7 separate regions of the Mus musculus genome follow, and regions 2, 3, 4, 5, 6 and 7 are each reported to be linked to region 1. Evidence: microRNA targets listed by miRTarBase, many of them from high-throughput screens and not tested one by one. Region 1 holds a microRNA gene; each other region holds the end of a gene's coding sequence. Distances are from middle to middle.
Evidence for each region. The annotated mature microRNA mmu-miR-181a-5p reads AACAUUCAACGCUGUCGGUGAGU and lies in region 1 at 2,828-2,850, shown strand. An mRNA with a match to its seed (bases 2 to 7 or 8) in the 3' UTR can be bound and repressed. Matches are read on the target gene's strand: a 7mer-m8 pairs with bases 2 to 8, a 7mer-A1 pairs with bases 2 to 7 and ends in A, and an 8mer does both.

Region 1 (4,067 bases):
GGATTCTTGGAATGCTGTACACTGAAGAACAGGTTTTATATTTTAATTTGGTGCAGCAGATATCACTGTTTCTGATTATCTGTTCTAAGTAATATAAAGCTTGACATCTCTTAGGAGACAAAGGCAAAGACCATTTAAAATAAACCTAAGCCAGAGGTTTTAAACTACTACACAGGAAGATACCTTCCTTCCTACCTACCTTCCTTCTTTCCTTCCTTCCTTTCCTTTTTAAAAATTTATTTTACTTATATGAGTACACTGTAGCTGTCTTCAGACACACAAAAGAGGGCATCAGATCTCATTACAGGTGGTTGTGAGCCACCATGTGGTTGCTGGGAATTGAACTCAGGACCTTTGGAAGAGCAGTCAGTGCTCTTAACCACTGAGCCATCTCTCTAGCCCCTATATTTTCATTTCTTTGGGCTTCCATTTCACAACAACCGAACTCAGCAAAGATTACAAGAGAAGAATTTTGGGGCTGGTGAGATGGCTCAGTGGGTAAGAGCACCCGACTGCTCTTCCGAAGGTCAGGAGTTCAAATCCCAGCAACCACATGGTGGCTCACAACCATCCATAACGAGATCTGACTCCCTCTTCTGGAGTGTCTGAGAACAGCTACAGTGTACTTACATATAATAAATAAATAAATATTAAAAAAAAAAGAGAAGAATTTTGATGGAGAATGAAATAAAGTGATGCAGAATGTAAACAATTCCATTTGAACCAAATTCTCGCTGATTTTTTTTTTTTTTTCCCTCTCAAGAAGTGCCATTTGGCTACTTTAAAAATGAATCTTCATCACTGGGCATTGTGGCACACACCTTTAATCCCAGCACTTGGGAGGCAGAGGCAGGTGAATCTCTGAGTTCTGAGTTCGAGGCCAGCCTGGTCTACAGAGTAAGTTACAGGACAGCCAGGGCTATACAGAGAAACCCTGTCTCGAAAACAAACAAACAAACACAAAAAAGAATCTTCAGCTAGGTCAACCATCAGTATTTAAACCCAAAGCGGCTGGAGAAATGATGGCTCATTGGTTAAAGAGTACTGGGGGCTGGAGAGATGGCTCAGCAGTTAAGAGCACTAACTGCTCTTCCAGAGGTCCTGAGTTCAAATCCCAGCAACCACATAGTGGCTCACAACCATCTGTAATGAGATCTGATGCCCTCTTCTGGTGTGTCTAAAGACAGCTAAGGTGTACTCATATATAATAAATAAATAAATCTTTAAAAAAAAAAAAGAGTACTGGCTGCTTTTCCAGAAGACTCAAGTTTGATTCCCAGCACCCATATGTGGGCTTATAACCATCTAACTCTAGTTCCAGGGAATCTGACACATTCCTCTGGCCTTTGAGATTATCAGCCATATACTTAAGCAAACACCCATACACATAAAAATAATAAATTTAATAAATACATTTAAGAAAATATTTAAACACAAAGTATCCTAGATTAGATAGATATTAACCTCAATTCAGCCAGCAGCTCTACAAAGCTTCTATGTTGCTTAAAATAAAGCCAATATTCTGAAAAATGTTTAATTAGTTTTCAAGACTTTTCATAAAAAATATTCAATAAATAGCCAGGCATGATGATACAACCTTTAATCTTAGCACTCAGAGGAAGGCAGGCAGATCTCTGAGTCTGAAGCAGCCTGCTCTACATAAAGAGAGTTCCAGATAAGGGGAGGGGAAGGAAGGGGGAGGGGAAGAGAGGGAGGGATGGGAAGGGAGGAGAGGAGAAAAAAATGAGGAGGAAAAGAGGGAGGGAGGGGGGAAAAGAAAGTCAATAAGTAATAAAAAATAACCACCCAAAACAAAGATCAGATACATCTGGCATTTTAGTTGCTCTGTGTTCTTCTAAAGATTTTTATTTTTTAAGTATGTATGTATGTATGTATGTATGTATGTATGTATGAATGAATGTATGTATGTATGTATGTATGTATGTATGTATGTATGTATGTATGTGTGTGTGTGTTTGTTCAAGTGCCTGTGAAGGCTTGAGTTGACAGATCCCTGCAGCAAGAATTGGTAGTTACAGATTGTGGTTAAGACAGGTGCTGGGATCAAAGTCCCGCCTAGAAAAGTACAAGTTCTTATCTGCTGAGTCATCTCTCCAGATACACTCTCTGTGCTCTAGTACACATAGAATTTTTACTTTTCCTATATGGGGAAAAAAAATCATGGAGCATCACTAGCACTTCTGTGGTAATTTAGCAGCCCATGATTCTCAGCTACTGAGTTTTGTTTTTCATCTTTTTCTCTGAAATATATGACTTTAGATGTATTTTCTACTATTACAGGCAAACAAGAAGGAATTTGCTTGTTTGATTTAGCTCTGCAGTAAAGGTTCAAATCTGAGACTGGTAAAGGAAGGAGAAAGCAACATATCCAACCAATACTGGAACAATGAACTCTGGTGTTCAAGTTCTGGCTATGGAACTCCGGGTAAGTCTCTGTTTCTTAAGGAAAACACGGTTGGAATTAAATATACAAATCCTACTACACATAAGTCCCCAGCATGTGTTATGGTCTTTCTTGTTTTTGTACATTAATAATTAAAGTATTACTACAAAATTGCTATATTGATGTTTTCAGAATGATAGCATTGAAAAATATTTCCACAGATATCCACTTTTAGTCAGCAATGTAAACTGCAGTCTCACAATCCTGCAGCTCATTTCTGCTTTATGCAAACTAACTTCACAGTGTAAGTACTGTTAACTTGAAATTTTGGGAAGAATGTGAGAGACCCAACAGCAGTGGTCCTTAGAATATGAGAGCAGGCCAAAGATGGGCAACCAAGCCAGCCTTAAGAGGACTCCATGGAACATTCAACGCTGTCGGTGAGTTTGGGATTCAAAAACAAAAAAACCACCGACCGTTGACTGTACCTTGGGATTCTTACAGACAACAAGTTTCCTGAAGCAAAGGAGTAGGCTGTACAGATATATCATGTGACAGACATCACAAGATACAGTCCTGTGGCCTCTTTTCTAAAGGGAACCAGCAAGTTTTTTTTTTAAGCTTCCATGTATTTATATTGTCTATTTTTTGTAATTTCTTGATAAATAAGTGTTTCATTTTAACAATTTATGGGAAGTGCCATCATAGTACCAAATGCACTCAAATATCTTCTAGAAATGTGTCATTCTAGTCAGAAATAGGGTGTATTAAAAATGTCTATTTACTGTAGGAAAAAAATCTAGTTAAGTCTTTTATTCTCATTTCTTCTACGTCCTTTCAAATTTTTGCTTTAGGGTCAAGAGATTTACTCAGCAAAAATACTCACAGAGTTACTCACTGTCTATACAAATCATATTGTGCCTCCAGTTTCAGTTACTGCGGTTAGGGATTTGACATCTCCATGAGAGAACCAGATACATTTCCATCTCCATGTGCTAATTTAAGGAATTCTGGGTCATCTCTGAGCCTCCGTATCCAAGTATGTTTTCTCAAATGTAGAATAGGAGAGGAGAGAACCTCAGAGTTTTAATTTAATGAGAAGATATATGAGGGTACTTTGAACAGTTTCTGGCTCACAGCAAATGTTTACTACAAAAATTTTTACTTAACTGCAATCATAATCTATACTGCTTTACCTTGAAAAGGGCACTTAACGTCTCAGCTTGAAACAAAAGATGAAGCAATGTCTCTGAGGGCTCCTTTACAGACATCAACATCCAAGTCTCAGCCCATGTGATCAGAGCTACTTACAAGGTTCTCACATAGTGCCTTCTTCCTCACAACTTTTCTGTCTTGAACAAGTTCTTGCTATACAGTCAAGGTGATCTATAATTATGAGTCCACAACCATACAGATGACTAGTTACTAACATACAACAGACTTCAAAGAACCATAGTGGGAAGAAGAGCCAGGAGATAGAAAAGACCAAGACAATTTCATCAAAAGGAAACATTGATGGCTGCACTCAACATTCATTGCTGTCGGTGGGTTTGAATGTCAACCAACTCACTGATCAATGAATGCAAACTGCGGGCCAAAAAACGCAAAGAAACAAAAGTACTCCCAGAGAGTCACCAGAGTACGGAAGTACTGCTCCAGGTGG
Region 2 (4,067 bases), 220 kb from region 1:
AAAGGGCACAATAAATTCTGTGCTTTGAAAGTTTTTGAGAGCACCGCTTCCTAGGAGGGATATACTTACAAAGAATATATACTGCCTAAAATCAAAGAAAAAAAATCTGATTTTATAATTAATAAAAAATGCTAGTGGTGGCTGATTCACTGGCGAGAATATTCATTATACTGGGATTTAACCACAGAGCCTTGCAGATGCTAGGCAAGCACTCTATGACTGAGCCTTATCTTGACTGGTTTGAATTTCCAAAACAGAACAAAATCCTAATTTTTATGTTAAGATTATACAGCTCTAAAAATTTCCCTCCTGTTTATTACAGAAAGAAGTTTAAGCAACTGGGCTGAGATGAGCTCGTGTTTGTTATGTCTATCACCAAATAACCAGTAGCTTCTGACATCTCAGCTTGCTTCCTATAAGACAGGGAAGGTTTAGTATCAGAAATACATGGATACAGAAAGAAAATCCTGTTGTGCTTCACTTTGCTTTGTGCATAACCAGTCTCTTACAGTCTGATTCTTCCTAGTTTGTTTATAGTGATTCTTAAGACACCAGAAACTTTATCAGAATCTACAGAGAAATTTGTGCAATTTGAGTACAAAAATGTTGCTCCCTTGGCTTTGCTTTTTTTAGTCTTACTATTTAAGTTTTTAAAAATTCTAAGATTAAATGGAGCTTAAAATAGGCAAATCTATTTTTGCAAAAGGGTCTCATACTGTAGTGCAGGCTGGTCTAGAGCTTACTCTGTATAGCTAAGGATGGCCTTGAACTCCTGATGCTCTTGCTATACCTCTAAGTACCAGGGATGGAAACCAGGGATATACGCATGCTAGGCAAGGTTCTAATACTAAGCCCGATCTTAATCCTCAAGGCAAAGATTTTTAAGTCTCCTCTGCTTACATTTCAATGCCATTAAAAAAATAATGTGGTATGTGTGACGTATGTTTGTTTTTATTTTTTAAGGCAAAGATTTTTTTTTTAAAGTTTCAAATTCCCTACTCCAGTTTTGCTTTCAAAAGATTTCAGATCTCTTAACAATTGTTTTTGAGGTGGACTTTTGCTATATAATCTAGATTAGCTCTGACCTTGCAACCTTCCTGCCTTAGCCTCTTATGCACTGGGATTAAAGGCATGCACCACCATACCCAGCTCAAAATTGGTTCTATTGTTTTCTTTCTTAAAAATATATTTTTTTCCCCTAGTGATGAAGACCAAACACAGGATTTCTGAATACTAGCTAAATGCTCTACCAAGAAGCTACAACCACAGCTTTGGTCCATTTTATATCTTTAACCACGAGTTAGGAACTGTATTTCTATTAGTTTAAGAACCCATGTTATAATCTAGTTTTACACTGGCATCTGCAACATACATTTTTTTTCTGACCATGGAAGGTCTAATTTCTCCAGGAAAGTCTCTTTAAGCAAGTCTCAAAACAGCAAAGTATGACCTAGGATTTTTTGGTTTGTTTTGAACCACCTTAGTAAACACGATATAGAAAGGATATTATAGTGCTAAAACCACACAAATCAACTTTTTTGGAAGCAATGGGGAGGAAATCAACACTTTTGGAACAAATGTTCCAAACTGTAGAATCACAAACAGGAATAGGATCTTAACCGAGTCGCTCTATTTTATATGGAAGAGTGCTAAAAAACAGATTATTTGTCTGTCAAAGGATATCATGCTCATTACTAGAAAAGCCAGGATTAGAACTCAGACCTCTTGCTTTTGAAACAACTGGTCCTTAGGCTTAGCAAAAAAGAATAAAACACTGGTCAAGGCCACTTTAGATGTCAGGGAACAGGAAAGTATGCATTGTTGGTCAGTACTTAAGGGAACTGGAACAGAGGCCAGACTACTAAGGAATATTTACTGCTACATTCCAGGAGGAAAGTTTATAAAAGGAAAATCATGATTTGCAAACAAATGGAAGTAGGCCTTTTAAAAAGGAAAAACCTCTATCTGGAAGGGCTCTTTCCAGATTAACCTTTTTCTAAGCTTTTAAAAATACTGTCTGAAAGAACATACAAACAATTTTAAAAGCAAATGAAACTTCCTAAGTCCCTGACCCAACCATGACCTGGACTTCACAAAGTAAGTGCACTGGAGCAGATATGGCCACAACTTACACCCACGTGATGCTCTAGTGAGAGTTAACTGGGTTAAAATACCATATCAAAAATTTCCTTAGGGCCACAGGAAAGAGGTACTGAAAACAACCACCTCATTTCTCTAGGACTGTCAGGGGTAGACACAGGCAGAAGACCCTACAATTCACAGATTTCTGAATTTAAATGCCATGCAACCAAAAGATGCCAGGAAGGAAGAACCTTCACAGCTAGGACCTTTGAGATTACCAAGGAGATGGAGGGAAGGATGTACAAAACGTTTATATTACATATTGAGTCCTATTTAAAATAACAAAACTTGTGCATGAATATAAAATAACAAAACACAGGGAGTTTTAATATCTTCCAAATTGTTAAAGCAAAATTAACTCACGATTTACTTCCTTAACACCCAGTTATCCTCAACTCACACAGAGTCTCTCTAACATCCATGCCTTGGAAACTTGAATATGAAAAAAGATTAGAAAAACTGTGCAGCGGATATACCAAGGAATCCATTACAACACTGTTTAAAACCAACCAACGAAGAATCTGTGTAGAGATCCAACTATGAAACCAATGACTTGATTTTTGGCTGAAATACTTAAAAGTATTTTCCTTTGCATTTTTAGCATTCATAGACCACAAAGAAAAGTAAATATGCAAACAAATCATAATAGTACTCATATTCTAAATATCTGTCATCTTAAAGTTCCTATTTAAAATTTAATTTCCAGATGCAAACAATTCTAAATAGGTTCTAAAAATTTAACATCATTTAATGAAATTCAGAGATCTCAAGACATCAGTTTGTACATCAGAGAGTAACTTATGTCCTACCGATTAGTGTGAAGTGAAAAGCAACTCCACAGAAGGGCTCTGCTCTTGACTTTCATGTGGCCAGTTTCACCTCTATGAACAATTAGGTATTTCCCAAATCCAGACACTTCCAGGTCCAAGTTTAACTTATGGATTGTCCTCATTATGGAAAAATAAACAATATATGTTCTTCTTAAGGTGACAACAGTAACTATTTGAATGTGGGGGTAGATGTTGGAGGTAAGTATCTAATGCCAAGACCAAAAAAATAAAAATTTCAAGATTGAGAATTTAAAAGACTTGAAAGATTATATTTTAAAAGTTACCCTAAAAGTTTGAACTTTTTTCAGTTTGCTTTTAAAATGGTGTTTCCTAAATCCAAAAATAAAAACCAAGTAACACACTATGTCATTACATTAAAAAATTGCACCATTTAAAATCTGTGGAAAATGAAAAACTGTTAAACAAGAGGGTTTTAATAGTCATCCATAGAATTCTCAAAGAAGATGTTTCGAACATCCAGAATGGAGGCCAATTCCAAAATGTGCTTCTGAAGGTGAGGATTCTCTACGGTTTCATCCCTTGGCAGTTGTGGATAGGATTCTGGGTAATTTCGCGTTTCCTGGTAAATAAGGAAAGTCAGGTTCACAGAGTGCTGCGAGGAAATTACTTGGCTTAACAGTATTAAATGTTAAGTTAAATGTTTATTTTCTTCTCTTACCAGTTATTATTACTAGTATATTTATTTATTTTTTTGACTTTTAGACGGGATCTTGTTATCCCTCAAACACGTGGTAATGCTCTTTTGCTAGCCTTCTGGAGAGCACAATCACATTTGGCTACTGTACTGAATTACTAACAAGTGACACTTTTAACCTCTTAATATAGCTTCATATGGGCTAGCTTAATATATTAGCATACTGAATTATTTCACAAATATTTGCTAACCTTTATGACTGTTAGGCTCTATATTCTATACCATCAAAATTGATACAAATCCTCAGAGAGATCCACATATGGGACTAAACAAGCCCCGCCACCCAAAACTCATTGCATGTATGAAAAAAGCTGTAGTAGAAATCAAAATGTGTAAAAAGACAAAATCTAAAATAAAAACTTCCAGAAGAGAAGAGAAAA
Region 3 (4,067 bases), not on the chromosome of region 1:
ATTGTAGAAATACAATTAGTAACATTTGTCAAAGTGGATTTGTCCTTTCCACCTGGCTGGAGCAAATCTAGTTTTTCTAGGTTATAAATCCCTTTGAAATAGTAGTTAGATTTATACAGAGACTGCTTGATAAACCTCAAGAAGTCAGGAGATACAGTAGTCTTGGGAAACTGTCATACATCAAAGAACAGATATCCTGGTATGTGTAGAAAGTCAACTTGGTCCTTTTGTCAGAATGGCCTAAATGTGAAAGAAAATCTCATACATGCAATCAAAGTGAGCTGTTATTTCTTTTGGCATGTGGACAAACTTGTCTGCATCACTCCGGGAATACAATGAAAAAACACAATTTCTGACAAAAGGGGAACGGCTAGGTATAAAACATAACTTGTTTGATAAACGAGATTTAAAAATATAAAAAGGAAAAACAATTTCACTCCTTTTCCCCTAGAAAAACTATGAGTAAAAACTTAAGGCCACAACTCATTATGTATGAAATGGTCAACTCAAAGGGAGCTCAGGCTTGCTGAGTGAAAGAACTCTCCTCGGCAGTCAGTATTTCTCTGTGGGACTGTTAGCTGCAGGGTGGCATTTTATTTGACAGCATGGACTTGGTACATGTCCATTTTCAGTGCCTTGAAAAACCAAACAATTTAAAAGTTAGCAGCAGTTTCTGCAAGGTACAAAAATACACATTTGTTACATAACACGGTAATAAAATTTGTCAAGATATATTATACAAACTCATCGCATTTGAGATAAAGAATCAGTCTAATATATTATAGATTGATGGAGTCTAATAAAATGACATGTCTGTCTTCATACAATACTTTACAGCAATATTAACAGACTATTCACATTAAGTATCCTGGGAGCATCTAAGGAAACAGAGTCAGAATGGTTGGCAGAGAGCCTTACCAGCTATTTTCTTCTATGCTTCAAACTCAGTGGATGATTTTTTCTACTGGGCCATTATGAAAGGAGGTGGGGAGAGAAAAGCCAGGACACTTTACTTTGTTTAGGAGACATTTCTTACAGAGAGACAATCTAAGCCATAAGATCTTCATTCACATCTTGCAGTTCTGACAGTAGTATGCTCTAAAGGGAAGCGTTGATCTGCCAACTTTATATACTAATACCACAAAAGATATGGAGGGCATGGAGGAGTCTTCATATGGAAGTGGTTGGTTACATCTGGTTGAGATTGCAAGTGTCATGAAGGAGCTCACTGGACACAGAGTTTGAAAGTTAATTATGATTAGGGTAAACAGGGCCATGCCTGAGAGGTAGGTGGCACTTCAATATTTAATACTGATATAAGTCCTTACCCTATAACTGACAATGTGATCTTTAGGAGAAGGAGACATCTGCCACGAGTTTCCTGGTGACTGGTAGGAATAATAATTTGGGATAAGCTATTTTTTGAGTGGATTTTTTTTTTTAAACAGGGATTCAAGAGATCACATAGACTTTAGGAAACTTTTGGACTAGGGGAGTAGCTCAAATGAAGGAAGATGCGCATCTATCTTAGGGTGTATCCTTCCATTACATTCTGGCTGTGGAAGGAAGACATACTGATGTAGCCTTGAAGGTAGAGAGAGAGGACAAAGGTCTATGATAAACTGCCAGGGTCTAAACTTGAATATTTATAAACTATAAATCATTTGGAAAAAGTGGAGAACTTCAGCAAGAAAACCCAAAGGCAGTGGCCATCAGAGACCACCCAAGAGCAATGTCATTGTGTTCTCCTCAATAATCTTACAGTCTGCCAATCTCAAATCGGGAACAATCTGTAGAATGAAAGAATAATTAACAGCTGTCCCTTGTCTCCTCTTGGCTGACTGTAATCTAACAGGAAGGGCTACAGTGAAACATTCCACAGAGACGCCATATTGATAAATACTGCTTGTGGAACCAAGAAGGGAGAGCTGTTGCAGGAAACTGCCATTTTTCAAAATGAGAAAAGTATGACTTATATAGAGAAGTGTCATATGGTAACTGGCCATTAGGTCTAAGTTAGAGGGGCCACTTTCTGTAATATCTTGTATGTATTGCAGGACCCAGCTTCCTGATCTGGGTATATCTGTGCACACAAGTGTCACATGGCAACTGGCCATTAGGTCTAAGAAAGAGAGGCCACTTTCTGTAATATACTGTATGTACTGCAGGACCCAGCTTCCTGATCTGGGTACATCTCTGCACACACTTACTGATCACAGCACAATACCATTGCATGGCTGCTACCAACTCCAGCATCTCTTGTTTCTCTGAAGTCTTGCCCCTGAGATTAGTCAGCCAGGGAAAACTGACCTCGAGAGTAATTTCCCTAATTATTATGTGGCTATTCTTCTGCGCTATGAGATGCATGCTATCAGCAGGTTCCTTTATGTAGGGATACGTTACATTCCCAGAACACAGTTGCATAGGGACTGTGGGTAGGACACTAAAATGGGGCAAACTCTTCCTTCCTTGTCTTTGTATCTCCATTTCAGAAAGATACATGTGAATGCACTCAACCCTAAGAGAAAGTCAACAACAACAAAAACCAACCGAGCTGCCCGATTACAGGCTGTGTTGTCCCAGCACCCATGGCACTTTACCCACTAGTTTTCTCTACTCTGCCTTCATCAACGAGCTGGTCCCAAAAATGACCCAGTGAAGATATGTGACTAAGAACAGCCACAGAAATGGCCACTGACTTGGCTTTAGGGACAGATTTTACATGATTTCCTTAGTGAGCATACATGCTTTTCTGAGTGGCTCAGTGGCCCCCCTTTTCTTGCCTACTTATTCCATGGCATAAAGATGGCTTCTCTCTCCCACTCTTCTCTATGTGTCACCGATGCTGCATTTAAAGTACTCTGGTCTTCTCAAAACACCTGAACTCTTAGACTGCTGACACGAACAGGCATCTTCTACAGAGGACACTTCTCTACCCTTCTATCAGTATCTGAAAATCTCAGGAAAGGACTTAACCCATGCTTTAATAGGAAAAGCCTTCCAAAACCTTAGATCATGTAACGTCTCAACAAATTTCTGCCACATAATCTCAACAAAGAAATTACCATATTAGCAGTGATTGTCCTTGTGCTACATGCCCTCAGGCACCTTATAAATGGGGTTATCTAATTACTGTCTGTGTTTTTATTGGCCCAGTTCCTGTTCTTAAAGACATTGGATTATTTTGATATCAGATTCTTATTGTAGGTAACGGTCTTTGGTTAAATATCTGTCCCCGTCATCGCAAATGTTGTAGGTTCTGCACCTGGGTTGGCTGTATCCTCCGTGGTCTCCAGACTTGAAGAGGCTCCTTCCCAAGGGTTATCACAAGGGTACTGCCCTCCACTCTCTTCTCCCTTATATAACTTCATACAAGGCTTGAGTCTGCTTTCTGCCAGGTGGAATGGAGAGCCGGCATGTTGCTCTGAGTCCTGACAGGCATAAGAACTGAATCCACAGGCTGTTTGCCCAGGTCCTTCATCTCCCTGTAAGTCATCCTGACTCTCTTGTAGAGAGTCAGCCTCTGGGGTACCGGAAGCACATGACGGCAACTCCAGAGGCTCTTTCAGGGAACAGACTTTCCTGTCTTCTGGTCTGGCTGCTTTTGTTTTCTTTTTGAGGGACCAGTTTTTTAAAGTGACCAAGCCACTTCTCAACCACGCACTGGGGTGAAGGGTTACAGAATGCATTTGTGATGGCTGCTCCGTGGTACCCTTTCTTAAATAAGCTAGGTGGCTGCTGGCCTGACCCATGGAGGGACCGGGCATTCCGGAAAGGCGGCTGGGACTGTCAAAGTCTGAAGACAGCTCTTCTTGTTTTCTTTGTGTCTGGAAAGTGCAATCTATTGGTGAGGAGGTTTCGGTGGGCGTAAACACGGAGTGTTCAGAGATCTGAGAGAAAGCGCTGTCCTGGGAGCTTACAGAGGAGCCGGATGGGGACGAGCCTGGAGAAGATAAGCTTGAATAGCTTGCCCTTGGGCAAAGGTTTAGTCTTGGGGGCAAAACCTTCTCAGTGCTTTGGTGAGAGCTGCTGCTCTTGCCCACCTCAATGCCCATGACCAAACTCTG
Region 4 (4,067 bases), not on the chromosome of region 1:
GATCATGATAAACTCAGGATATCTTAGAAGTGTTTATATTTGCTGCAAAATGTGGTAGTGATCTATCTAAATATTGACTTGACTTTTTTTTTTTTTTTCCTTTTCCTTTTTAAATACAGATGATTCGCCTCCAGCAGAAAGGGAGCCAGGAGAAGTTGTGGACAGCCTGGTAGGCAAGCAAGTGGAATATGCCAAAGAAGACGGCTCGAAAAGGACTGGCATGGTCATCCACCAAGTAGAGGCCAAGCCCTCTGTCTATTTCATCAAGTTTGATGACGATTTCCATATTTACGTCTACGATTTGGTGAAAACATCCTAGATGTCATCACAAACTTTGCCAAATTTGTGGAACTATTAAATGTATAATTTGTAGACATAAAGACTTGATTGCTTTCCAGTTTAATGAAAGCTTAGATGTCCCTGCGAACCCACAATCTCCACCAGCAGAGCTGGTGTTGTTCTGAATAGTGCAGACTGATTCGAACACAAGGCATCTGTGAGGGGAGTCCTCCCTCTTCAAAGCATCTGTGTGAGGGGGTCTTCCCTCTTACAAGAAAGCTGTCTGTTGGGGGTTACAAGCAAGGTGGTAAACGTTAAGCTAGTATCATAGTCATTTAAACCTGGATAGATTGTAACCATTTTCCCTTCACTCTGACACTGTCTTATTCTGCTGCCACAATGCAAGCATAGTTTGTTATTTTTGTTACTGCCTTTTTTGAGAGATTATGTATCTATATAGCTACCTGTCTAGATCTGCATCTGTGTGCCTATGTATATATTATACACACACAGAGGCACTCACCGCTGGCTCTCCTTTCCTTGGGGATTGGGGTGGGGGTGATAACGTTTTCTCCAGTTCAACAGGAGTGCTTGACCCAAGTCAGTCATATTTATAATATGCCTGCTCTTTGTTTAAAATTAAATTTGGGCACAGGAAGCACACAGAGACATTTAGGTTGTTTAAAAAGTCAGAATTTCTGAGTACCATTTCAGTCTGGAGGCTTTTAGCTGAGTCCAGGTATAAATTAGCCATAAACAGTCAATGACCCACAGTAGTCTTTAGTAAACTGTTGAGAAATCTGGGTAAAAGGCTGCCTTCAATTCTAAGCTTTGTTTTTTTGTGGTTTTTGTTATTATTTGTTTCTGTTGTTTACTCTTTAATCGTAAGTACTTTTAAACCACGACCCAGGTCCTTGGTTCACATGGAATAATAAAGATGTGTTTTTAGATGGCACATTGGTCCATTTGTACACACCTGTCATCGGGATCTTAGTACATGGACTTAAAAGGCAACACTACATCAATGGTTTGTATATGTGGTGAATTCCTGCAAGAACAGTGCATTTGTATTAGAAATGTAAGTTTTAAGGATGGCCTTGTTGCCTTCTATCAAGTTCTCTGGGACTTTGTAATTTTGATTACTACTATTGATACATGGTTATGGTCAGAAGGCCTCTTCTCCCTTCCTCCCTCACTCCCTCTCCTCCTAGCTTTCCCCACAGAGAATGTTAGACCAGTATGGCTTCTTGCCTTGATCCTGTTGTGGCAGTGTCTGTTCCTGCCCCAGGTGTGCTATTCACGCAGGTTTATTCCCTCCATGGCCTCCGGGCTTTGCATGTCTATGATGTGTGTGTCGCTGGGAAGGTCATGCTTGCCAGTTATGGGTGGATCGCAGCTCTTCGCCATCAAGTGCATTCAGGATTATTCCTGGGAGGTTGCTTAAAGCTGAAATAGAACTGAAATGCAGTTGGTAGACTAGCCAAACATCTGCTTGCTCTCACTTTGTTTTGGAAGAACCATGGTAGCTTGTCAGCTGGTAGAAAGATGGTTTGTAAAAACCAGTTTCTCACGGAGGTTGAACCTATCTGTGGCTGGACAGTCTTGGATACTGTCAAGCAAACACCAGAGGCTTGGCCAAGTATAGTTACAATTACCTAGTTGGGGTTCTTCCTGATGCAAGAAATTTTTCACTGTTCGAGGCACATGGTTATTGGCTATCCATTTAGTTTTCACAGAGGCTGACCACCTTACACTGCTGGGTGGTCACAACTGCTCACCATGTGAACATAGTACCTCAGTTCTGTCCTTGGCTGCAATCGTTGTGTGCTCAGTGTTTTCTCATAGGCACCAGGGACAGGCTTCTCAAGGCAGTATGATATACCCTAGTCTTTGGTGCCTCTAGTATATGTGACCAGGTGTCGTCCTGCATGTAAATCTCCGAGCTGAGTCTGACTCACAGCCCATGCTGTCATCTGTGGCACAAGTGGGTGTGAGTACGTCCTGCATGCACTAACGGTGCAGAACATGGCATGGTGACTAGAAAGTAAAACTCCTTTTGAAGTGTCCCAAGGACTGGGTCAGTTAGAACCTGTCTGCCACTATCTGATGACTTACATTGTGGTTTTCTACAAGCCACCTCAGTTAACTTTGGTTCCCCGTGGACTCCCAGGCTGGAGGAGGAAAGCGTGAGGACGGGGATGATTTTGATCACGATTCCATTTATTGCCTTTACATAAGGTTGAGGGAAGGGGAAGGTTTGGTTTGTTTGTCTTTTAATTGTTTTTTTTTTCTTTTTTTTTTTTTTAATTCCCCCACCCCACCCTCTTTCTTTTGGTGGCTTCCACCACCCTTAATGGTGACAGACTCCTGGGCCTGCCACCTTGGACTTCCCTTAGGCTCACAGTTCAGATCTGCATGCATTGCTTGCATTGTTCTGGTATCTGAATGTTGATTCCTCATTTAGGAGTTCAGCATTAATTTCCAAAATTTTCATGGGGCTTGTGGCAACACGGGCCGTGAATCTGTGTATAAAATTTACTGGCCTTCTTCACTTACCTGCTCTAGTATCGTATCGTGTGTGCGTGCGTGTGTGACGTCAGGCTGCCACGTAAACTTCAGAGAAGAACCTTAAAGCAGACCATCCATTTTTGCATGCTCTCTTCTAAGTAGAATGTTCAATGTAACTAAAACTAAAATTGCATGTCAAAGAGACCTAGGTTCTTTCTTTCTTTCTTTCTCTCTTTCTTTCAGTTTGCTTTTGGTTTCCTGTATATTTGCTTACTGTGCTGTTCTAGTGGTTGTAGGGTAAAGACGAACTGGTGAAGCAGTCGTAGCGCCGACCGAAGGTGATTCCAGTTGTATATGTCACGCAGCATTCGAAGGGACTGTGCACGCTCTAAAGATCACAGTTGCTTCTAAGCCAGATTTCATTTCTATTCTTGTTTTATGTGCCAAACCCCAAAGTGCATTGGGCCTGAATCTCTGAACACTGTAGACCCATTAGAAGGAAGATTGTTCTGACCGTCACAAATTGTAGTGCCTGAAAACACTTAACACTGATTGTCTAAGAGATGAAAGTCCTCCAAAGATGACACAGGAAAAATACTACAAGTAATTGTGGTGGAAATGTCTGTGTTCCTTGGGAATGCTGCGCTCTCTGTAGTTTCCATCATTGGTGCAGTTCGAACGAATGAGTAGAGTTCAGAGGTCTTCGTGTTCACATTTAAAACTAGATAAATGACCTCATTTTCTTGAGCTTGAATTCATTTTTAATTTTAATTTTATTTTATACAACGTGTAGACGGTTCCCTGTTCTCTGCATTTAGAAGTATACACAGTACAACTGTTAATTCTGTAAGTAATTTTTATAATTATGATGTAACTCTTATCCTTCCTTAAAACATTAAAATAAACCCTTTATGTGCAACTTGTGGCTGTGAACTTTGTGCTGCTGTGTTGAATCTGCTGAAAGGGGTCTGGAAGTCAGGCAGTGTTTCCACCACATGGAAATGTCAGGGTTGATAGAAAAAGAAGGAAATGAAGGTTTGCTTGAGCGGTGACAGCAGTGCCATCTGATCTGGGCCGGCATTGCTGTCATCTCGGATCTAACTGTTGATGTTTTGATTTGACATTAATAAGAAATGTTAGTTAACCCCGACTTTTAAACTTCAAGCAATCACTGTACATAGAACTCGGTAATGTTTGTGGAGTGTTTTCATACCTACCCATTCTTCAAATATTGCCTCCAGTGCTTTTTGTTCTTAAATACAAGTCGGTGAGACTTGGTA
Region 5 (4,067 bases), not on the chromosome of region 1:
AAATCAACCCAAATAGACTCTCAATGGACTCATGGCCTCCTTACTGTTGGGTTTCAGATGTTAGATCACGATTCCTTCAGCATGTAGACGTCAGAGACTGAGCATTCCAAAATGCTAAGGCCACTACTACCAACCCAGCTTCTTAGTTAAACTATAGAGCCACTTGGAGACTGGCAAATGCAGAGACAGAAAACTCAAGAGAGACCATCTGACCCTTGGGAACTCTTTATCCACTGGTATTTACTCATGACTATGGTAGTTGAATGAGTGAGACCTCAACTATGAATTGTCCTGTGGCTGGCTCGTGGGGCACTGGGCGTCAGATTATGTTGAGTGAACACAAGGAAAACTGTTGAACAATGGTGTGGCTTGTGACAAGAACTCAAGGTTTACACAGTGCCCTCAGAAGTTTATGTGACACTCTCTAGAGAATGAGCACCATGTCCTAGCAATCCACACCTCAAACTCGAAACACACACCACAGGGCTTTGCAAAACCTCCATCAGGGGTGCAAACCGCGTGGTTCTATCAGCTACGAATCTTTAGTGCATGTGGAGACGGGTATCTCGGCTGACAGTCATTTGCTCCTATCTCTAAACTACGTATGTATGGACCGTGAGACCTGGAAATGAGGGAGAAGTGAGAGCACCTTGGGGTTCGTTTCCTTGTACCTTCCTGCTGTGCTACATCTGTGTTTCAAACCAGGCCCTGCAAGCCGACCCTTTTCCATGGCTGCAGCTTTTAGGGAGCTTGACGGACAGTTTCTAGGATCCTCTGTGCAGGGGGGATGCCTTACCTTAAGCTATTGTGTGCATGGCTCAAAGGGTACCAAAGTCAGAGTGGTGGGGGAAAACAGGCCTGTTGAGCCATCTCTGAGAAAGGAGACTTAACTGTTAAGTGTTAAGGTGCTTACCTGGAGACCGTCTACACTCTTTGCTTTCATTTGAGACCAAAGTGAGCCTGGAAATGACAGTAGGTACAGGAGAGAAGATGAGGAAGATACAGGAGCGATGGAGTCAACCAGGAGCCATTTCCTAGAGGAAGAGGCCCTGGCAGTACAAAAGCATGGCCTTTGTTATTCAAGGCAGCAGAGTCCTGACCTAGGGGTAGAAAGTTATAGGTGGAGCACTGAAGGCCTTGGACTGGGGGGGGTGGGGGGAGGTGGGTGGAGGGGATTGCCTGGGAGCTGTCTAAGGAAGATCTGAAAAGCTAAAATTAAGCTTAAGAAAAGCCTTTATAAATGAACTCAAAAGGCGGCCAGTTTCTCCTGCCTCCTGTTGGTATCATCCGTCAAGGAAAAATGGTTCTAAGAATCGTTATTGTTTTCTAAATAAGTGGTGGGTTCCTTTAGGAGATAGTAAACTTCCAAAGAGACCAGCAGTCATTGTCAGTCAAAGGGCAGTCCTGGCTGGGTCTCCATGGCTTCTTTTGCAAAATGGTCAGAAAGAATGGTTCTGAAAAATTTGAGGTTTAAAACTTTACCATACTTGAAGTACCTGGGGGTAGGGAGTATGTCTTCGGTACATTTGTGAAATGAGGAGAGTGGCTTGGAAAGGGAATAGTTCATCAATATTTTTTCCTGCAGTGGAATGACTATACTGGCAAACTGAGGTAGCCATGGGTCATGACCTTGACTTTAGCGCAGGTCTTGGTTGGTTTCTGCAGGAGTTATTGTCAGTGCTGTGCTACTCTTAGGTGGGCATGCAAATGCAATCAGCACCACCAGTTTGAAATTAAACCTAGAAGGTAATTAATGGTGGGTGGGTCCCAAGGGGTTTGCTTTGAGCCCTCTGTTTGCCTCATCAGGAAGTTCGGGTGCTACGGCTAGGAAAATTGTGATTTGTATCTTAATGAAAACAGTTGTGTCCAGAATGATCTTGGGGGGGAGGGGCAAGAGCTGGGATGTACAGCTCAGTGGTAGTGTATACTTAGCATGCAAGCAGTCCCTGTCAGTCCCCAGAACCAAACAAACACAAATCTATCATATTTTTTTTAAGATAGAGGAAAAATATAGTATATATGATAAAGAAAAATGGCTATATGCTAAAATACCAGGGAAAGAGGTCCCCAGTGGAGCCCACTGGACTACAGGAGGTCTGTAGAGATTATAATGCAAAATTCAAAAGGCAAACACAAACAGGAGGAGAACAGAAGTCATGATTCTGAGGTACAAAACTGGGAAGGCACCATCCCGGCGCCACAAGGTCGTCTTCCCATGGTGGCCTCACATGGCTCTCGCTCAGTACAGTAGCCAGATCTGGCTTGGCTCAGAGAGAGCTGTGGCTAGCAGAGCTGGGGCTTCCGATTGGGGACCACTGGGCCTTTGTGGCATAAAGGAACCAAGGATTCATTTCCTGTCTGGTTGCAGGGGGGAGTAGGGGAAGGCAGACATATTTCTCAGGCAGTTATTGAAAACATCTGCAGGAGTTTGTGGTGTAACCAGAAAGTCCTTATGACTCGGCTGCTCTAGTCCATTGTAAGTGTGTGTGTGGGGGGTGGACTTGGACTTCTCCGGGGCCGATCGAGTTCTTTGAGGGAACCATGTCAACAGGCATGGAGACAGTTTCCCTTACAGCCTCTTCTAGCTTCAGTTCAAGCAATGTCCGAGTATCTTCTACACACTTCCACTGAGTCTTTAACCTGGATCCAGGGAGATGAGTTTTATGGAAGGGTCCACCACTGAACTCCTTCAAGCCATGAACTGAAGGTCCCACAGGAGCCTCCTTCTGTGACCTTCATCAGGTGCGGGCTGCTACTCTGGACAGGGTTAGAGGTGCTTGTTGTCGGTTGCTAGGCAACGAGTGCTCATCCCACAAGTGTCACAGATCATGCGTGGCAGGTGATGACACTCCAGTAAGACCTGGGATTTGGGTTCTCTTGCTTCTGGGACACTCACCTGGGCTACACTAAATCTGAAGCCATACGCAGTGTTGGGTGAGGTGTTGCCTTCATTACAAGGGTGCAGCATTGGATTTTTCAAGTAAGTCTAAGTGTTTCTATTGTCTTTAAAACGACGATAATGTCCAGTTATTAAAAAAAATTACAAAATACAAATGCCCATGTTAATTTAGCTAGTCCCAGACATCATTACATTCGACACAACATAGAAAAGCCAAACTCTCCAGTTATAAGCGCAAGACCAAGGAAGGTTGTGGATCACCCACTCTTGCCACTAATTCATTTTCATCTTCAGACATCCCCCCTCCCCTCGTGACCTTTGTTTTTACATCGTGCAAGACTTGTCTGTGGGACCCTGGGAAGGTGCGGCAGGTCCCATCGTAGGGTTTGTTTTTGGAAGAACAGCAGGCTTTGGCCTAAGGGCTGGGGGCTTCAGCTGGACGCCCATCCGGGGCGCCACCATAGGCTTGAAAGTACTCATTGTCTCGCTGGAGGAGCTGGTGCTCCGGCGAATCTGTGGCTCTGAGCCCCTGAGGGCGACATTGTGCAGTGGGCTGAGTGATTCTGTGGAAGTCGCAGGGGTGGGCGAGTTCTTCACTTGCTCCAAAGTGTCTAGCACGACATCGGGGGCGTGCTTCACTGTGCTCTGCCTCTCGAGTTCACGGAGTTCGTTCAAAGCAGTGTTCATGGTCTCCTCAATATCCTGGTGGAGAAAATAAGAGAGAAAAGGAGAGACTGGTGATCACAGAAACAAAGAGGAGAGTGTGAATACTTGAACTTTACAGTCTGTCCACAGGGTTTGTACGCTGCCACCTCGTGCATCTGGGTTGACTCTAAATGATCTGGAGACTTAGAAGCAACGCACATGGAGCCACAGATCAAACAACTGTCATTCGGAGGTACTAGGCCACCTACTGAGGTCTCCATGTCTTGTGCGTGATTGATCAGAATTCTGTTTCATCTTTGTGTGTGTGTACATGTGTGCTTGCACATGTGCAGGCCTGAGGGTCAACCTCAGGTTGTTGTACTTCAGGTATTGTCCCTTTTGTTTTGAAATAAGAGTGTCTTGCTGGCCTGGAACTCGCTGTTTAGGATAGACTGACTGGCTGGCAGACCCTTCCTTCGGATCTGCCTGTCTCTGCTTCCCCAGAGCTGGTTTGACAAGAGCA
Region 6 (4,067 bases), not on the chromosome of region 1:
ATATTGACATTTGAAAAGATGTAAGAGGAAAACAAGAGCAGAGAGCCAAGGAGTCCCCGTGGAAGGGGACTTGTTCTATAGCTAGCCCTAGGACTGCTCGAACCCAGAGCTGGCTTTTTTTTCTGCCCACAGTGGAGCCCAGTGACATCCTCTTCAGAGTCATTTCCCAATGTCATCACCTCTTTACAGACCACAAAGATCAAGTGACTTGTTTTCATTTATCCGCTACAAAATGTCTGAGTCAGGGTCTGAACCCAGAGCTCATCACTTCTAAATCATGCAGCTCTAGCTACAAAGAACAGACCTCCTCTGAGAGCTCCCGGGCTGGGGATTAGGCTCAGCTAGCAAAGCAGATAGATGTCTAGCATGGATAAGGCTCTGGGTTCAATCCTTTGCACCAAAGCCTGTACTGTTTCCCTAAGCTAGCTGATAGGCATACAGAACAAGTACACTCCTCTGCACTTTCTCCTCACGAGGCTGGAAGGCCCTAGTGTTCCCTGAGCCTAGGGAGAGTGGGTATTTGATGATTCTGACACTATACACCAGAGGAACCTTAGAGCACCCCGCAGGGCTGGAAGCAGATACAATAACATCTAGGACTGCCAAGATTTCAACATGGCCATTGTGAAGGATGCAGGGGGGGGGAGGCAGAGGAGAGACCTAGAAGGCTGATACTTTTCTCTGGGTTTTAAAGGAAAGGCAGAGAGGCCCATGTCCCTGGCAGAGGTTACTTGAGAGAGTAGAGTCTGGTGCTGAGCCGGCTTTTAGGCTTCTGGGTCACACTGGTTCTAAGAAAGCAGTCCTTCCTCCTACCTCCATCTGACCAGCTTTGAAATGGAAGGACCCACTCAGACCTGGAGATACCAAGGCAGGGGAAGGGCTGGCTGTGGCTTTCCTGGCTTTTGCTTGGGGTTAGGAACACAGAGGAGCAAGCAATGTCATAGTCTCAGTTTTATGAACAGCATCTGTCAGCTAAAGGGGGGTGGGGGTGGGCTGCACCCTCAGGTTGAGTGAGCATGGGTCAGCCTTTGTCTGAAGAGATGGTCATTCTCCATGCCCAAAGACATTACAGAACACCCCTGCCCAACCTACCCCTCTTAGGATGGTTACTAAGAGGGACCCTAAGATAGGTGAGGCTGTCTGTATCCTCCCTCCCACCCTCCTTCCCTTGCTTTATTTTATTTTACTTTATTTTTGAGAGAAGTAGAATCTATGTTATTATAGCTGGTCTCAAACTCATCTAGACTAGTCCAGGCAAGTCTGGAGTTGACTCTACAGCCCAGGCTAGCTTCAAGCTCACTATATAGGTTGGATTCATGGCAATCCCCCTGCCTTCGCCTCTCAAGTACTGGGATTCCGGTTGTACATTGACTGTCACACCTGGCTTCTAACTCAGGTTTACTCATTTTGGGGAATAAGCTCTGAGGATTCTATGAAAGAGATGTGGGTCTCCTGGGCTACCCCAAAGGTCAGGTCCTGGATAGAATCCCCGAGGAAAACCAGATGTTTTTAGTCTCTGCTTTCAGCTCACTGGAAGGATCTGGCTTTCCTTTGTGGTTGGTGGGAGATGTGGAGATAAGTCTAGGGTCTTTTACTTGTCAGGCAAGTACTTTACACTGAGCTACATCCCCAGCCTGAGGGAACTGTTCTAACTAAGCCCTCCAAAAGGATGCAAAACCAAGAACCGTTTTTTTACAGTCTTGGGGCACACAAAGGCAGTCTGGGATCAGGAAGAGAAACAAAGGAGACAGTCATTCTCCAAGGGCCACTTGGTGTGGGTGGACTCTGGAGTCGGGGACAAGTGAGAAAGGCCTTGGCCTTCTTGGCTCAACTCCAACATTTCTGATAAGAAACCCAACTCCAGCCTTCTGTCTGGGAAGGAAGTCAGGGGTCACCCTCGTCATCCCCCTGCCTTTGTATGGTCTCTGCTCCTGCCTGGGCCACATCTCCTGAGCCTAGGTTTCTTGCCTAGGGAGAGGTTTAAACTGAATTGTCTTTTGCAAAGGTCTCTTAACCTTTTTTTATACCCAGAGATAAAACCATACCCTTGACTATGTACCACATCAGTCTAGACTTTTCCTCAGAGAAAAGGCCTTAGGCTAAGGAGACTGGGCCTTCTCACCTGGAGAGCAAGGTAACCCTCCTTGTAGAGACTCAGACTTCCAGGGAGGTCTGACTCATCTTTCACCTTCGGGTGCTTTCCAGCACATTCTCCTGGTAGCTCCACTCAGCAGAACTGAGGGACCTTGGCTCTGATGGCACAGTTCCCAGGTTGCCAGGCAGTCCAGGAGCTCTGATGGCAGTTACCAGGCAGTCAGGGGACACACAAGTGGCCCCTGAAATCTGATGAAACTTGTGACCAGCACCCACCACTCTCCCTTTTCATTTATGGCGCCGATGAGACTCAAGTGTTTTAACAAACATGTTTATTAGAAAAGTAAAAATATTGCATAGGTCTTAATACTTGAACATCAAGTGTATTCATGAACCGCGAGTAACTTCATGTAAACAGGTTCTAGATGGAAGACCCAGGTGGCACTCCTCTGGGAAAAGAGGGTTCCAGCCCCCCACCCCCACCCCAGCCCCTCTCCTCACAGTTGAATCCTCCAGTACATGGGCACCGGGATGGGCTGGCTGCAGCTCCCAGGTGTAATTTTGTTTCAAGTGTCGAAGATCCCGAATGATCCTAACACCCACCCCATTCCTACTCTTACATTCATGCAGTCTGTAAGATAGCTGCCTCGAACAGGTCAGTAGTGAAGCGCCGATCCCCACCCCCCAAAACCAAGATACAAAACAAATGACAAAACACACTAGGTCCTTTCAGACCAGAAGATACACAAACTGTCGGCCACCTCCCCCTGCCTCCCCCCCAGCCCCCAACCCCCAGCCGGGGCAGAGGCCAGTGCAGACCAGCTGCCCTTCTGGCTCTGGCCCACAACTGCTGTTGTAACTTGTCAGTAATAAAAAAAAATAAGGTACATGCTACATACACATCCAGCCAGAAGCCTGTGTGACTCCTAAGCCTTTGTTTCATGCTACAGTACTGAGGGGCGTGTGCCCCAACAGGGAGCCACCTGCATACAACCTAGAGACTTCCTGGAGAACACTTCCTTCCCCCACCTGGCCCTGCGCCCCTCAGGTGGCTATCGTCAGTTTTCTAACACAGGGGACAGTCCTTCAGTCCTTGCCTGCGGGTCTCCACCACAGAAATTCCTTGTCTTCACTTTGGGGGGCAGTGAGAAACCCTCCCCGCACCCCACCCCAGGATGTAGTTCAACACTCTTCAATGAGCAGCTGCTCGGAGCTGTAGAGTTTCTTCTTGATGACTCTGAAGCCGGTACTTAGCGTCAGGGACTGGCTGTAACCAGGGACCAAGGAAGAGTTGGCAGAACTTAACAGCCCCTGGATCTTGGGCCAGAGGCGAGAGTCCAGACGCAGCACCAGGGTCAACTGAAAGGTGGGCACCAGGCTGGGGTCGAGGGCCAGCTGAGCCACGCTATGGCAGCTCTTGCCTTGCTCCACACACACGTCCAGCAGTGCCCCCCGCAGGCCGCACGGCTCACTGTATGCCAGGCGCAGGAGTTCCTTGCCCACCTGGCTCACCAGCTGGCTCGGCATGAGCAAACGCGCAGGGCGCCGCGAGCCCAATCGCGCCTGGGACAGGCTCTCCTGCAGCAGCTGCATCAGGTTGGCACACAGGTGCTCATCCTCGGGGTCACTGAGCAGCTCAAAGTCGGGCAGGGACACCCCATCCAGGTATGAGGAGTCTGGATAGAGAGAACACAGGGAAAGGGTATTGTATTAGAGCGCCTTCCACAGGAGCTGTACGGGCGGGGGAGGTGCAGTTTGCCTAAGCAAACAGTGTCCCTTTCCACTCCGTGCCTCAGTTTCCGCCCCGCAGTCTTGTCTTCTAACCCTAGAGTAATCTGTTTTTTCGTGCTGGGGTGGGAAGCCAAGGTGGCTTTGAGCCGATTCAGCTCGCTTCGTACCCACCTCCCGGGACCCCTCCCACCCCCCATCCCCGAACCCAATTCGGCCCCGGCTGAGTGCTCACCTTCCTCCGG
Region 7 (4,067 bases), not on the chromosome of region 1:
GCCAAGCTTGGTTCCAACACCAGGGTCTATCAGGACCAAGTTCATCTTTTCAAAGAACTTGGTTTCTTTATACACTAGAAATACTGGGGGGGGGGGGGGGAGAGGGGGGCACATCATAAACTCAAATTCAAACACACAAACTGGGACTGAAAATTTCCAGTTTCCAGATCTAATTTCACAGGCTTCCTTCCCTGTGTAACAACACACTCCTATTACGGGATCAGGACTGGCTCCCCATACCCTTTAATTCCTTGGCTTCCCCTGCCCCTCCCCCCTTTTCTTCTATGATAAAAAGGGTGGTATGCTGGTGTCATGGTCAGCTCCAGACCCAGTGACATCACACCTAGGCAACAGTGACCTACACACCTGTTGCCAAGACAACCACCACCATATTCCCAGAATCCATTTGGCTCACTTCCCACCACTAGGTCTCCATTTAAATAAAAGGCAGACCCCTCTGACCTCTCTCTCCCTCTTCCCCTCCCCCACCCATCTCCTTCACAGCCACCTTTGCCCTTTTCTCCTACCATAAACCACGTGGAACTGTTTGGCCTGGTGTGGTCTGTCTGAAGCCACACTTCTAACACAACACCTATGACCTCAGCATTTGGGAGGCAGAGGCAGGAAAGTGAATATATGGTCAGCCTAGGCTGCATAGAGACCTTGCCCCAAAAAGAAACTAAAAAAAAAAAAAAGCACTTCTTTCAAGTTTCAGCCTCAACTACACTATGCAATTATGAAGAGGAATATATAAAACACAGTAACACCAAAAACTTTGGATCACCCCCCCACACACACACATATAATTTTTCTTTTGAAAACCAATGCAGTCCTTCAGGAGGGCCGGTTGGACCACGGTTCACACATCCTCCAATGCAGTGTGAGCCACTTACTTTCCGTTTCTCGGCTTCCCTCGTGGAATTAAGCATCACACAGTACTGGTGCTCTGGTGCCTCATTTACAGCACGGGAAACACTGGTTAGCATTAGGCCGAATCGTAAATATTTTTTAGATAGATTCAGGATGTCATGACTTCTTTCCATTGGAAGAAAGAAAACATGTATTTTCCAATGTGGAACTCTAAATGACTTCGTGTAATACAAAACGGGTGCTGATTTCTAAGTTCAGAGTTCTTACTGCTGCCAAGCAACAGACACCTCTGCTTTGAAGATCAGCATCACTCGAGACACTCAGTGCTGTCAGGGACAGAGTCACACTCATCCCTGTTCACAGAAGCTGACAAGGAACTTTCCAGTAAACAGAATTTTAGGAAGAGACCCTTTGGTAATGCAGTTTATTGAACCAGCTCTCCCTACTCAAGCGTTTCCGTTAAACATTTAAGGTCTCTGCTCCCCGCAGATCTAGCTTCACTTCCATGGTCAAAGGAGGCCATTTCAGAAGGCACTTGCTTAACCGAGCACAGGCTGGTTAGCCTTCAAGATTTTGCCACTCTTGTGGCTTCAAGTTTCTCCTCTTCCAGTCATATAGGCATATTTTCATCTTGGATACACAAGTCAGCTGGAATCTCACTGTCCAAAAGGAATTTAGATAGGCTGGCCTGTCCCCTGTAGAGGATAACCTGTGTGTGCACTGGTATGTACTGGTGTGTAAAGGGGGTATGGGAAGGTAAAAGACAAGCACAATTCCATGTATATCACTCCTTTCTTAGATGGAAATAGGGTTTGCTGAAATGACATAGAAAAAGGTCTTATAATTTAAACCTTATTGTAGAAAACAAATAAAGGATTTAATAATCTAGTAGTCCTTGAGACTGGGTGAATGTGAGTTCATGCTCGTGAATGTGCACGCATGCGTGCGCACACACACACACACACACACACTTAAATGGGTCCATTTTAGTTCCACGTGGGTTTTTCCACACACTGGCTCTTGATATCAAGCTCTGGTCTGCAGGACACCAGAATGCCTTTGTGTCCCTTGCTGACACTACGACATTGTGTTTTTTTCCCATTATCCAAGGATAAATGACCTAGATAGTGTGCCTATTAAAGCCTCATTTTTCTTCTGCCCTTTTGTCTACTGTGTGCCCCATTATCACAGGCTGCACACATTTTCAGGAGCCCTACTCTCAGATGCCCTTTCAGGGGAGCAATAAGAGGTTTGTGTGTGTGTATGTGTCTGCTGAGATATCTGGCGTGGAATTACATGAAGGTGGTAATTCAAGGTTTTCCTGTCCATCTGGTCTTGGAGACAACTAGTGTGTGTTACTAACAGCTAATCTAGCATGAGAAGACACGGTAAGCAAAGTCCGAATGCCAGAATGCTGTATTTGCAGCTATTACGAATTAAAAAAAAAAAAAAAAGTGGACACCAGCTCCCCTGTACACTGCATTCTATAACTACATCTCTGCATATCATGGGTCACTTTTATTAAAAGCATCATTACTACAGTTGGCAGAAATTTACATTTTATCTTACATGATAGCAGTTTTCAGAGAAAAAAAAAATCAAAGGACATCACAACAAAGAAAAACATTTACAAAGTCCTGTCTGTAAACTTCAAGGCTAGTTCAGAGCTGAGGTAATGCTGTTTTAGCTTTGTGGCTAAAGTAACAAAGTCCTTTAATTTAAAAAAAAAAAAAAGGTACCTGATTCTCACTTCTCTCAATCTTCTATTTACTCTTCTATTTATTTAGTTTTTACCAGTGCATCACAAGACCACAAGCCAATGGAACTGCAGTTGTCTGGCAAGAACCCTCCCAGAAGGTTAGTTTTCCAAAGGGACCCTTCACATTCAACAGCTGCCTGATTATTGCTGAGCCTCGGGACAGAGGCGTTCACACTAACGTGGAGATTGTCAGAGTGTATGGATGTGTGTATGCAAATGTGGGAACCCCCATAAAGTCAGAAAGGGAGACGAATGAACAAGGGATGATATGTATGGTAAATTTCATCTTGACCTTCACAGCAAAAAAAATTAAAATTAAAAAATTAAATATATAACTTCATACGTCCTCTGAGTAGCACTTCCTTCCACTAGTGCCGCTCTGTTACAGATTGCTCTTTATTATAATACCAGTGGTACCCAAAGAAAAAAGCAGAGCATTATGTAAGTTTCCTTAAAAAGACATGATCACCTCTCAAATTTCATCCTTCCTAGGGATAATAAATAATGCACTGCACAATACTTATGACCAAGATACCTTCGGACACACCTGCATAACATGACTTGGACTTTTTTCCTTTTTTTTTTCTTTCTTTTCTTTTTTTTTTCTCTTCTTTTTTTGCTACACTATGTTACAGAACAGCTTATAAAACTAGGTATGAACATTAACTGTGAGTGTAAACAGTAGGACTACCACCTGTCAACAGTTTTCAACACTTTCAGTGGAACTGCTGCTGCTGTTACTCGTCGTTTCCGGTGTTTTCTATCTCATCCCCGCCTTCGAGGGAGTCCAGCTCTTCACCCTGTGCAACCTCGTCTTCCAAGATGGAGGACTCTACAGTCTTGTCCAGGTTCTCCTCGGCATCGCTGCCCTCCAGGGTCTCTCCGTCTTTACAGGGCCCTCCCTCGGCCTTGTCAGCAGCCTTTTCTTCGCTGGTACCCACGGCGTTTTGGAGTCCCGCCAGTGCTGGGAAGCCAGGCAGTGTCAATCCCCCCAGTCCTGGAGGTAGAAACATGGATGGGTAGAAGAGGCCTGGGGCCATGGTGGACAGGAGGAAAGGGTTGAAGGCCAGCGGGTTGGAGGGTAACGCAGCCGGGGCAGTAGCAGCACCAACAGATCCGTTCGCGGAGTCAGCAGCCGAAACGGTGTCTGTGCTTTTCTCAGAGTCTCGGTTCTCGTCTTCATTGTCGTTTCCTTTCTCTTCCGCTTTGGAAGTGCCATCCTCTGGCTCTCCTTGACTTGAAGCAGTAGTGGTGTTTCCAGTAGCAGCTGAGAGAGGGTTGTTCAGCAGCCCGCCCAAGCCGAACACGTTGGGCAGGCCCGCCATCCCTGGCAGCATCAGGGGCAGCACTGCGGCGGGGCTCTTCGCATCGCCTCCGGCGGTGGCAGCTGTGGCCAGTCCTGGAGGGAAGCCCATGAGCCCTGCCAGCTGGAGGGACT

Region 2: miRTarBase lists Scai as a target of mmu-miR-181a-5p. Seed matches in the 3' UTR shown: 7mer-A1 at 1,880-1,886.
Region 3: the mRNA of Arhgap20 is a reported target of mmu-miR-181a-5p. Seed matches in the 3' UTR shown: 7mer-A1 at 2,401-2,407 and 7mer-A1 at 1,547-1,553.
Region 4: the mRNA of Spin1 is a reported target of mmu-miR-181a-5p. Seed matches in the 3' UTR shown: 7mer-m8 at 2,722-2,728.
Region 5: miRTarBase lists Srgap1 as a target of mmu-miR-181a-5p. Seed matches in the 3' UTR shown: 7mer-A1 at 3,089-3,095.
Region 6: the mRNA of Ddit4 is a reported target of mmu-miR-181a-5p. Seed matches in the 3' UTR shown: 8mer at 2,712-2,719.
Region 7: miRTarBase lists Chd7 as a target of mmu-miR-181a-5p. Seed matches in the 3' UTR shown: 7mer-m8 at 2,752-2,758.

What each region holds. Positions count from the first base shown.
Region 1 is chr2:38,849,914-38,853,980 of GRCm38, forward strand. Mir181a-2 (microRNA 181a-2) reads left to right here and starts at 2,822; the gene lies at 2,822-2,897. All of the region lies in intron 3 of Nr6a1 (nuclear receptor subfamily 6, group A, member 1), which reads right to left. It overlaps Nr6a1os (a long non-coding RNA gene), which reads left to right. Exons shown (of 7, transcript XR_866167.2): 3 at 2,302-2,446. Mir181b-2 (microRNA 181b-2) reads left to right here and starts at 3,917; the gene lies at 3,917-4,005.
Region 2 is chr2:39,071,605-39,075,671 of GRCm38, forward strand. It overlaps Scai (suppressor of cancer cell invasion), which reads right to left. Exons shown (of 18, transcript NM_178778.3): 18 at 1-3,552. The coding sequence ends at 3,406. Among named protein-coding and RNA genes, the nearest start is that of Gm30067, 6.5 kb to the right of the region's middle.
Region 3 is chr9:51,849,554-51,853,620 of GRCm38, reverse strand. Arhgap20 (Rho GTPase activating protein 20) reads right to left here. Exons shown (of 15, transcript NM_175535.4): 15 at 562-4,067. The coding sequence ends at 3,222. The region is part of intron 1 of Arhgap20os (Rho GTPase activating protein 20, opposite strand); the gene reads left to right. Among named protein-coding and RNA genes, the nearest start is that of Arhgap20os, 24 kb to the left of the region's middle.
Region 4 is chr13:51,148,843-51,152,909 of GRCm38, forward strand. Spin1 (spindlin 1) reads left to right here. Exons shown (of 6, transcript NM_146043.4): 6 at 120-3,720. The coding sequence ends at 319. Among named protein-coding and RNA genes, the nearest start is that of Nxnl2, 20 kb to the right of the region's middle.
Region 5 is chr10:121,782,175-121,786,241 of GRCm38, forward strand. It overlaps Srgap1 (SLIT-ROBO Rho GTPase activating protein 1), which reads right to left. Exons shown (of 22, transcript NM_001242411.1): 22 at 1-3,601. The coding sequence ends at 3,224. Among named protein-coding and RNA genes, the nearest start is that of Gm46183, 11 kb to the right of the region's middle.
Region 6 is chr10:59,947,260-59,951,326 of GRCm38, forward strand. It overlaps Ddit4 (DNA-damage-inducible transcript 4), which reads right to left. Exons shown (of 3, transcript NM_029083.2): 2 at 4,058-4,067; 3 at 2,416-3,770. The coding sequence ends at 3,277. Among named protein-coding and RNA genes, the nearest start is that of Ddit4, 2.5 kb to the right of the region's middle.
Region 7 is chr4:8,865,955-8,870,021 of GRCm38, reverse strand. Chd7 (chromodomain helicase DNA binding protein 7) reads right to left here. Exons shown (of 38, transcript NM_001277149.1): 38 at 1,573-4,067. The coding sequence ends at 3,367. Among named protein-coding and RNA genes, the nearest start is that of Gm46842, 43 kb to the left of the region's middle.